Saccharomyces cerevisiae S288C: one gene and its partner. The gene in region 2 interacts genetically with the main gene of each other region. Each region holds a gene or a part of one and is shown on either strand. Other genes may lie near its edges.

Region 1 (6,059 bases), on a different chromosome or scaffold from region 2:
GAAAGAGCTATTCAATTGTTGGAGTTATTTAGTCCATGCCTAGTCAAAAGTCTAAAAGTAATGATAGCACAAAATATGGAGAATGAAGCTTGTCAGATTTTAAGGAGCTTGTCTGAATGGAACTTTCATTTTGATCAGCATGATTCCTCCAACTTGATACAATTATCCCAGAACCATTCTTGCCTCAAAGTTATTGAAACCATGAATGGATTATCATCAACTACCGCTGTCACTAGGCAATTCGGACTTGAAAAATTACCAACTGACGTGAGTTTGAAGCAGAGCATACATATTTTATCAAAAGATAATTTCGAACCTCTCAAGCAAGATTCATTTCTTCAATTTCTATCGTTTAAATTAAGTGATTTGCCTCTGAACTTAGAAGTATGGAAAAAGCACATTAAGGAGGTTGATGACCAAATGCAGGCTGAGTCCAACCTGCATTCCTTAAGAGCTTTTTTTATTGATATGCTACTGTGTCACTTATCTGTGCGCAAGGATTTCGATTTTATGCTTTCATTGGTCGAGCACATAGTATACGAAAAAAATTTATGGCAGCCATTATTACTCACAGATAATATAGTTGGAAACAAAGAAAATTCCACTTTTCATTGCCTCTTTCATGGCGCCTCTCAAGATATTTCTACCAAACTTACTCTACTGGCATTGTATAACCAGTTGAATGAAATCGGCTATCAATTTACCTCCCACGATTTTCTCTCGATGTTGAAAGTCTGCAAAAACTACTCTGATTCTGATTTTTTCTATTTTGCTTTCTATAATTTGTTGGTTACACAAAGTCACAAATTTTTTCTTTTCGATAAGTTTAGTGATAAGTTTTCGTGGAGGTTGCCAATACAAATCGGAGATGCAATTTCTGAATGGCTATCCAGCTTAGAAATTGATATACAAGAAAACACCGATAGAGTTTTGCAGATAACAGATGACGTCGGCGAATGGTATGTTGAGAATAAACCATTTAAGTCAGAAAAAGGGACCATTCAACCAATAAACATAATGGAATTGCGCAAAATTTTTGGGGAGCGAAAAACTCTATTTCATATGGATTCAGAAATTTTCCAAAAATCTAAAGCAAAAAGAGATAAAGAAATGCGGAATGAAGCTTTATTTACCGCAAATGATGCGGAATATAATTTTGCTGCGGATGTATCCTATGCAAAGAGAGTAGAAAATCTATTTTCTTACATAAGATCTAAGCAAATGCAACAAAAATAATGATTATATGTAAAATTTGCCGTTTACATTCTATAAAGTGATATCAGACTCTAATATATTCGCCAATTCATGTTTCTGGCAGGCCACTTGTAGAGCTTGGAGTTGCCTGGTGACACCTAATTCCAAAAATATCTGGAACATACCTTGTAAAGCGACATTTTGATCAGTCATAAATTTTGATTTTGTTGCGGCGTATTCACGTTTCACAAGAACCAACAACCTTTTCAGTATTATGTTGGATAGATTCTTCTGGTCAGCATTTTCTCTCATTGTGTGGTAACAAGATATTGCCAAGAACGGGAAGAATTTGATCACGCTTACTCTCAATGTCGTACAATCTAATAAATGTAGGTTATAGAACTTGGCGAAAACACCCTGAAAATTAAAATTTGGATGTAGAACAACCAACCCAGATTCCATGATTCTAGTCCAAAATTTTACACAATGAATGGTGAATTTGATGGTGTCAAATCTCATACCTCCTGTTAATGGATCCTTGTTACGATCGCGTATTCTTGATTCAGCGATTTGTTTAGCGCTTGGAATTATTCTGATTAAATCGTGGCATAATTCCAGCTGTTGTGAAGGAGACAAAGATCTGTAGTATACGATAAATGAATCTATTGATGAAGTAAGCTGAGAATCTGTAAAATGTATTGCTCCAGCGCTCACTGCATATCCTTTCCAGAATTCTTCACTTAAACCTTGCTTGTGACGGAAATTGAGTATCGAAGAGTCAGATAACACAGTGATTTGTGATGTGGCCGAAGCAAGTAATTGATAACTTAGTTTTCTGATCTCTGGTACAGGTTCCGCCAGCAATCTCGTTAATTTTGGATTGATGGAGTCGCAATCACCAGATAAGAAATCGGGATGGGATTGCATAAGTTTTAAAGCCTGTATTCTTACCAGACGTCCTACATCACCCTGTTGAGTTATTGTATAATCATCGAGACAGTTGATAATGATGTTGCGAAATTTTCGATACGAATTCGACGGGAGTAAGCTTATTCTAACATCCCAATGATGATCAAGTTCGCCTATCAAAAGCGATCTGGATTGAGGTGACAATAGGGGGAACTGGGAGAAGAAAAGGGAACACATCTTTTCTTGATCGGGCATATGACATATTGATCGGCAAGTCAGTTCGTTATCTGATTTAATTAATTGAACAATCCTTGTGTAGTTTAGGCTAACGCATTGAGATATTATTTGCTGTATTATAGGGATGAATTCGTTGTACAGATTTAACTTCTTTTGTGGGGATACTATGTCTACAAATTTCCAAAACAATTCCTGATTGAAATCATTTTGTCCTGTTAATTGCCAGTATTTCAAAATGACAAAAATTTGAAACAGTTCGGGCGAATTATCGTTAAATTGTCTTTTCGCTTGAGTAGTTAATTGGAATTTTATCTTTTTCTGGTAAATGTCGATACAAATCTCGCTTATTTTCGGGCAATTTACGTCATTTTCGAATAGTTTCAAGTACAAGTACAAAATTTGACAATTTTGTGTAACTGAGCTGCCAGCCTTGTTTAATACCTCTTGCAATAAAGCGGGTGAAGATAATTTCGACTTGATTAATGGAACTAGGTTATAATCTATGTTGAGTTTCATTGTGGTCAAATGTAAATTCTCTAGTAAATTCCAATTGAAGGACCAATCGCGGAATACCTTCCATACGCAAACAGCACTTTTGGAGGTGTTTTCGGGGTTGAACAGCCTACGAATTAGACCAGAGTTCTCCTCGAAAGACCTCGGTAGATCCTTCCAATTTGCTTGCAATATCAAAGCAATGTCATTTTGATTTAGCGCAAGAGATTTGTTGGACCTGCCCAATAATTCTTGGAGCGCGGCAAAACTCGAGTATCTGATTATTAATTCGGGGTCAAAAAAGGCGTTTATTAACAGATGAGAAAGTAGTGATTGTAGAACCTGCGGCGATAAACTATTGCTACGGTTTGACCTTATTACTGACCAGATAATGAAGTTTGTCGAGTCCCTGATATGGTGGCCCTTGATGATTTGAAAGTGAGATTTCTGAAAATGACATGTTTTAGGGATGATCAGAGTCAATACGCGGTCGACTAGATCTATAGGCAGAATTTTGGCCAGAGCCACCTCGGCGATGATCAGAAGGGAAGTGTGCAGCTCATTGCTATCGATAGAATCGCAAGGAGCCTGTAATAGGGAAACCGTATTTTCGATGGTATAATCAATGAGCTCGATAAAAGATGCTGGATCTGCCTGGTGCAGGAACTTGGCAATTTTAGCGAAGGAGTGTGCCAATTGGAATCTTGTGTCTGTGGAATTCGAACTTAAATGGTCATGGAAGAATTCTACTATAGCATCTAGGATATCATGAGAGCCATGATTGAACGAAATCTGGAATAATTTTGGCAGCAGCTTTATTCCGTCATTGGACAGTGCAACTTGTTGTAAGTGTCTTAGATTTTCATTGGAGAAGTAGTAGTTTGCCTTTTCCGAAGACTGAATAAACAGCTTTAAAAATTGGTTGAGAAACGGCACATTTGCCTGTTCCCGTTCCGGTAGCTGGTCAAAGGCATCTGTGAAGTTTTTGAAATATAAAACGGCTTTGATCTTGTTAATTGGAGGTATGCAAATGGGGTAGTTCTCGAACCTGGAAGATACTTGAAGCGTTTTGTTGAATTTATCTTTGAATGCGTAAGGTGAAAGCAGAATGACGCTTAGCCAAGAAAGGTTTAGATAGACGCACAAGACATCGCTGAAAGAAGAGGGCGAGGCTCGATCTTGTAAATAGTTTAAAATTTCGTTTAATCTAAAAATACTTGTATCTAATGATTTAAGGACTTTTGAGTGGGAGATCTTGTCAAGATTGTAGAAAAGCTCCGCAACAAGTTTCTGATCACGCTGTGACATACAAAAGAACGACTTGGTCAAAAGAGGCACGCATCTCGGTAGTATGGTGTCTAGAAGTGCAGGATCATCTTGAAATTTGTTGATCGCGGCAATCGTCTGTTGGTGCTTTTCTGGAGAAACGGTCTGAACTCCAGATTGTATCGAGTCCAGCAAGGCCCGAATATTGTTCATGATTGAAGGGTGTAAAGTGCGTGTGGTGGCGTTCTTTCCAAAAATATTATCGTCTTTCCTTTTTTTTTCTTTTTTTTTTTTTCAATAGTAATAGTATTTCCTAGTGATCTCGGCGATTTTCCTTGATTTCTCCAAAAGCGTTTTTACCCGGACGATATGAATCCATCTATTAAACATCATAACATCATATTATTTTTTTCTGTGCTTCTAAAACGGAGATCAAATACCGGGCCCGCGCGCGATGGCCGGATGTCCGTCCATACTGCAATGTGAATTCCCGCGCGGTTCAAATCTTGTCACAAGTTTGTCAAAATTGCTTGTCATGTCTGCCAAATCTCCAGGGTCCTAAATCTGAGGTAGCACGGCACGGCACAAGATGGTACCCATGGTGCGTGACGACAGCCGCTACTTGCACGGCTTTGTTCCGGCAGCCCGGGTACCCGCGCTGCGAGTTGAAACATCATCAAACCAAAAGGGAAGCGACGTTAGTTTTTTTCATTGCGCTAGCTATGACGTTTGGGTGGCCTAGCCGGTTCGCGTGTGCCTGTCGCTTTTGTCGCTTTTCAACTTCTGCCCGATATTTCCTATCAAAGGAAAATGGGACGTTTTCAACCCCTCGCTATCATCGTGCCTGCACTCTGCCTATCGCCAACTACACCGGGGTTTTATCTGCTTCACCCCTCCATCCAGTGCTGATAACAAGAAGAACCTTGCAGGGTAGGGCAGGACCTACGGCCAAAATACTAATTATGTCTGTTTATGTACATGCCCCAATCTGAATATTCCATGAATGTAGGCACAGCATATCTCCATCCATGTACTGATACAGACGCATAAACATATATGTATATACATACTTATACACTCGAATATTTGTAGACTGATGTACTTCTATATATATATAGGGGGTTTGTGTTCCTCTTCCTTTCCTTTTTTTTTCTCTCTTCCCTTCCAGTTTCTTTTATTCTTTGCTGTTTCGAAGAATCACACCATCAATGAATAAATCATGGTAAATATACTGCCCTTCCACAAGAACAATAGACACAGCGCGGGAGTCGTCACCTGCGCGGACGATGTTAGCGGCGACGGTAGCGGCGGCGACACCAAGAAGGAGGAGGATGTTGTCCAGGTAACGGAATCACCATCGTCCGGGTCGCGCAATAATCATCGCAGCGACAATGAAAAAGATGACGCCATCCGTATGGAGAAAATATCTAAGAACCAGTCCGCGTCGTCCAACGGCACCATCCGCGAGGATTTGATTATGGACGTGGACTTGGAGAAATCGCCCTCCGTCGATGGCGATAGCGAGCCGCACAAACTAAAACAAGGTTTGCAGTCGCGCCATGTGCAACTGATCGCGCTGGGCGGCGCCATCGGTACCGGTTTGCTGGTGGGGACTTCATCCACGCTTCATACGTGCGGTCCCGCGGGGCTGTTCATATCGTACATTATTATTTCCGCGGTGATCTACCCGATCATGTGCGCGCTGGGCGAAATGGTGTGCTTTTTGCCCGGTGATGGTTCTGACAGTGCCGGGTCGACGGCCAATCTGGTCACTAGGTACGTTGACCCTTCGTTGGGCTTCGCCACTGGGTGGAATTACTTCTACTGCTACGTCATTTTAGTGGCCGCCGAGTGTACGGCGGCATCCGGTGTGGTCGAATACTGGACCACCGCGGTTCCCAAGGGCGTTTGGATCACGATCTTTCTATGCGTGGTTGTTATACTAAACTTTTCCGCGGTCA
Region 2 (5,150 bases):
ATTCAGATTATTCTCGACGTCCTTCAATGAAACATCGTTGGCCACTAATTTGGCCAGTGCAAAGTAGAACAAATCGGCAGCCTCCCAAGAAAGCTCCTTCTTACCCTTTGCCTCAGTCAGTTCTTCAGCTTCTTCCTTGATCTTGGCATCTAACAATGCAGAGTCGTTGAATAGTCTTCTAGTATAAGATTCCTCTGGAGCGTCCTGTAGCCTTTGTTTTAGTAAAGATTCTAGCCCCACCAAACCATGCTTGAATTCACCAAAGCAAGACATGGTCTCCAAGTGGCAAAATCCAACGTTTTCTTGTTCAACGATAAACTTTAAGGCATCCGAATCACAGTCAGTAGAGATTTGTAAAAGCTTTTGGCCATTGCCAGAAGTTTCACCCTTGATCCAGATTTCATTCCTAGAACGAGAATAATAAACGCCACGACCCAAATCGATGGCCTTTGCTATAGATTTCTTCGAAGAATACACCAACCCTAGACAACGCTCATATTGGTCGACAACTAGGGTGGTATATAAACCGTCAGGACGGTCTGTACGTACTTCACCAAGCACTTCTTTGGTCAACATATCCTTGCTTAATTTCTTTATGGACACAATTTTATCTTGCGAGAATTTTTGTTTTACCATGAATTGATTGGAGAAAACACCGTTCTCTTCCACAACAACACGCTCCTTTGGTACATTCAATTGTTCAACCAAGTGTTCGGCTGTTTTAGCATCTTGGCTAGCAATGAACAGAGAAGAAACTCCGTTGTTCAAGAAGGCAATGATTTCATCATCGCTGAATTTACCACTTGGCAAGGACAAAGCCACCAATGGAACTTCTTCCTCTTTGGAGAACTGGAGAATCTCTTCATTACTCAGGCTCGAGCCATCCAAAAGTACCTGACCAACAAGTGAAACGTATTCCTTCTTACTATTCCATGAGGCCAGATCATCAATTAACGGTAGAATCGGCAAAACCATTATTCAGAAAAAAAATTTTGTAAACTATTGTATTACTATTACACAGCGCAGTTGTGCTATGATATTTTTATGTATGTACAACACACATCGGAGGTGAATATAACGTTCCATATCTATTATATACACAGTATACTACTGTTCATAGTCATATCCTTTTCTTACCTTCTATATCGAATGACTGATAAAAAAACGTGAGTCACTGTGCATGGGTTTAGCAATTAATTAACTAATTTACCGGAGTCACTATTAGAGTCAGTTCGACTGCCTAGAAGAACTGCTGGTTGTCAGGATTGTGATGGGGGCATTCTGCTGTATTATGACCCATCGTATCGCAATGCTCACACCACTGTTGTCTTCCTGCCGTGGTATCGACTGGTGCAGGGGGGTCGAAAATTGGCAACGATTCCACGGCTGTTTGTGCTTGAGCCTGTTCCAACTGTTTGATTTTTTCATTAGCCTCTTCAAGTTTTTTCGTTAAGGATGCCACCTCTTCCGATGAGGAATCTTGTGGTTTTGTCAAAAATAGTTCCTTGCTCAAATTTTGGTATTCTTTACTGAGCGAATCGTTATGCATTTTCAATTGTTCGCGTTCTTTAGCCCACTTTGTCTTGTGTAACTCAAATTGGTCTTCTATGTTGCGTAATTGTTCCAGCTGTTTTTTCAGGAGTTCGACATCTTCGTTGGCACCAGTGGGTTGATTATGAGAAAGATTTCTCTCTTCGTTTTCTTTGATCTCTTCGTGTAGTTGGCTTACGACAGCAAGTAGCTGTTCATTCTCAGCGTCAAAAAACTGCTTTTGTTTGGCTTGCTGTCTGCGTTCGAGCTCCAATTGTTGCTTGAGATGGTCTATCTCTTTCTCTCTTTCTTGTATTGTGGCTTCATACCTATCAAAAGTCGGTTGCACTTCTTCGAGGACCATTCTTTGGTCATCGAGTAGCCTTTTGTAGTGTAGTTGTTTCCTTTGTAGCTTTTCGATGGTCAATTGGGCTTCTCGTAATTCAATTGTAACTTCGCTGCTATTGAGGTCATTCATGTGGCCATTGTCCGGTTTCCAATCGCTGGTGGTGTTGTGATTAGCCTTTCTGTCTGATGACAGGATAGAGTCGACCTCCATTCTGTCTTCTCTGTTATCGTAACCAAATTCTTGCTGTTGATGGTGATCCGATGCCTCCTGGTCCATCGACTGTTGATTACCGCTGTGCCGACTGGTGATCCGGAAACTTCTCATGGGTGTGGGGGATTTAGGATCATCCATGGGAGAGAACTGGTTAGTGAGCCTCACAATAGATCTGTTTTTGGGTATTGATAGCGGTTCCATTGTCGTTCTTCTCGAGGTTTGCGATATCGATGCCTTCTCGATCAATGATGCGACTTTTTGCAACTGAATAAATAGTCCACTTTGAGGATACTCCGTTTGAAAATACTTCTTCCCCATGAATGATCCATCGTTCTTACCAATGTTGGCAAGTAAGTCTACACCAGCAAACATTCCAGCTTTCGTGTCCACTGGACCCACGTATTTCAGTTGTCCGCGCCCCAAATTTGGGATTTGTATGAAACATCCTATCTTTCTTTGATATCTATCCATGGTATTTCAAACGCATACACAGCCAGCCACAGCTCAACGCCTTTTACCTTGTCCTTTGATGCCTGTCTCGTCCAAACGTTTTTGGTGTCTTGGCCAATTGCCCTTCTGAAAAATCTCACTGTCCGCAACTCATTAAAAGATACCCAAGCAAGCTACACGATAAAGAAAGGAGAAAGTTCATTAAAAGAACGTACATATAGCGATACAAACGTATAGCAAAGATCTGAAATGGATACGGATAAGTTAATCTCAGAGGCTGAGTCTCATTTTTCTCAAGGAAACCATGCAGAAGCTGTTGCGAAGTTGACATCCGCAGCTCAGTCGAACCCCAATGACGAGCAAATGTCAACTATTGAATCATTAATTCAAAAAATCGCAGGATACGTCATGGACAACCGTAGTGGTGGTAGTGACGCCTCGCAAGATCGTGCTGCTGGTGGTGGTTCATCTTTTATGAACACTTTAATGGCAGACTCTAAGGGTTCTTCCCAAACGCAACTAGGAAAACTAGCTTTGTTAGCCACAGTGATGACACACTCATCAAATAAAGGTTCTTCTAACAGAGGGTTTGACGTAGGGACTGTCATGTCAATGCTAAGTGGTTCTGGCGGCGGGAGCCAAAGTATGGGTGCTTCCGGCCTGGCTGCCTTGGCTTCTCAATTCTTTAAGTCAGGTAACAATTCCCAAGGTCAGGGACAAGGTCAAGGTCAAGGTCAAGGTCAAGGACAAGGTCAAGGTCAAGGTTCTTTTACTGCTTTGGCGTCTTTGGCTTCATCTTTCATGAATTCCAACAACAATAATCAGCAAGGTCAAAATCAAAGCTCCGGTGGTTCCTCCTTTGGAGCACTGGCTTCTATGGCAAGCTCTTTTATGCATTCCAATAATAATCAGAACTCCAACAATAGTCAACAGGGCTATAACCAATCCTATCAAAACGGTAACCAAAATAGTCAAGGTTACAATAATCAACAGTACCAAGGTGGCAACGGTGGTTACCAACAACAACAGGGACAATCTGGTGGTGCTTTTTCCTCATTGGCCTCCATGGCTCAATCTTACTTAGGTGGTGGACAAACTCAATCCAACCAACAGCAATACAATCAACAAGGCCAAAACAACCAGCAGCAATACCAGCAACAAGGCCAAAACTATCAGCATCAACAACAGGGTCAGCAGCAGCAACAAGGCCACTCCAGTTCATTCTCAGCTTTGGCTTCCATGGCAAGTTCCTACCTGGGCAATAACTCCAATTCAAATTCGAGTTATGGGGGCCAGCAACAGGCTAATGAGTATGGTAGACCGCAACAGAATGGTCAACAGCAATCCAATGAGTACGGAAGACCGCAATACGGCGGAAACCAGAACTCCAATGGACAGCACGAATCCTTCAATTTTTCTGGCAACTTTTCTCAACAGAACAATAACGGCAACCAGAACCGCTACTGAACGATGATTCAGTTCGCCTTCTATCCTTTGTTTACGTATTTGTTTATATATATAACTTTATTTTTTTTTATTAATTGGGCTGCAAGACAATTTTGTTGTCAGTGATGCCTCAATCCTTCTTTTGCTTCCATATTTACCATGTGGACCCTTTCAAAACAGAGTTGTATCTCTGCAGGATGCCCTTTTTGACGTATTGAATGGCATAATTGCACTGTCACTTTTCGCGCTGTCTCATTTTGGTGCGATGATGAAACAAACATGAAACGTCTGTAATTTGAAACAAATAACGTAATTCTCGGGATTGGTTTTATTTAAATGACAATGTAAGAGTGGCTTTGTAAGGTATGTGTTGCTCTTAAAATATTTGGATACGACATCCTTTATCTTTTTTCCTTTAAGAGCAGGATATAAGCCATCAAGTTTCTGAAAATCAAAATGGTAGCAACAATAATGCAGACGACAACAACTGTGCTGACGACAGTCGCCGCAATGTCTACTACCTTAGCATCAAATTACATATCTTCGCAAGCTAGTTCCTCGACGAGTGTAACAACAGTAACGACAATAGCGACATCAATACGCTCTACACCGTCTAATCTACTCTTTTCTAATGTGGCGGCTCAGCCAAAATCATCTTCAGCAAGCACAATTGGGCTTTCAATCGGACTTCCCATCGGAATATTCTGTTTCGGATTACTTATCCTTTTGTGTTATTTCTACCTTAAAAGGAATTCGGTGTCCATTTCAAATCCACCCATGTCAGCTACGATTCCAAGGGAAGAGGAATATTGTCGCCGCACTAATTGGTTCTCACGGTTATTTTGGCAGAGTAAGTGTGAGGATCAGAATTCATATTCTAATCGTGATATTGAGAAGTATAACGACACCCAGTGGACCTCGGGTGATAACATGTCTTCAAAAATACAGTACAAAATTTCCAAACCCATAATACCGCAGCATATACTGACACCTAAGAAAACGGTGAAGAACCCATATGCTTGGTCTGGTAAAAACATTTCGTTAGACCCCAAAGTGAACGAAATGGAGGAAGAGAAAGTTGTGGATGCATTCCTGTATACTAAACCACCGAATATTGTCCATATTGAATCCAGCATGCCCTCGTATAATGATTTACCTTCTC

The links.
Region 1: mutations in BIK1 (region 2) and CIN1 together harm fitness more than expected from each alone (negative genetic interaction), as found in Saccharomyces cerevisiae (5 studies listed by BioGRID, with this or other methods).

What each region holds. Positions count from the first base shown.
Region 1 is NC_001147.6:988,041-994,099, reverse strand, and holds CIN1 (Cin1p), read right to left. Parts: upstream 4,312-6,059; coding exon 1,267-4,311; downstream 1-1,266. Other genes in the region: MNE1 (Mne1p), read left to right, coding at 1-1,236; proline permease PUT4, read left to right, coding at 5,318-6,059.
Region 2 is NC_001135.5:67,359-72,508, forward strand, and holds BIK1 (Bik1p), read right to left. Parts: upstream 2,564-5,150; coding exon 1,241-2,563; downstream 1-1,240. Other genes in the region: HIS4 (trifunctional histidinol dehydrogenase/phosphoribosyl-AMP cyclohydrolase/phosphoribosyl-ATP diphosphatase), read right to left, coding at 1-975; prion domain-containing protein RNQ1, read left to right, coding at 2,792-4,009; FUS1 (Fus1p), read left to right, coding at 4,445-5,150. UniProt on the Saccharomyces cerevisiae protein: Required for nuclear fusion, chromosome disjunction, and nuclear segregation during mitosis. Probably required for the formation or stabilization of microtubules during mitosis and for spindle pole body fusion during conjugation.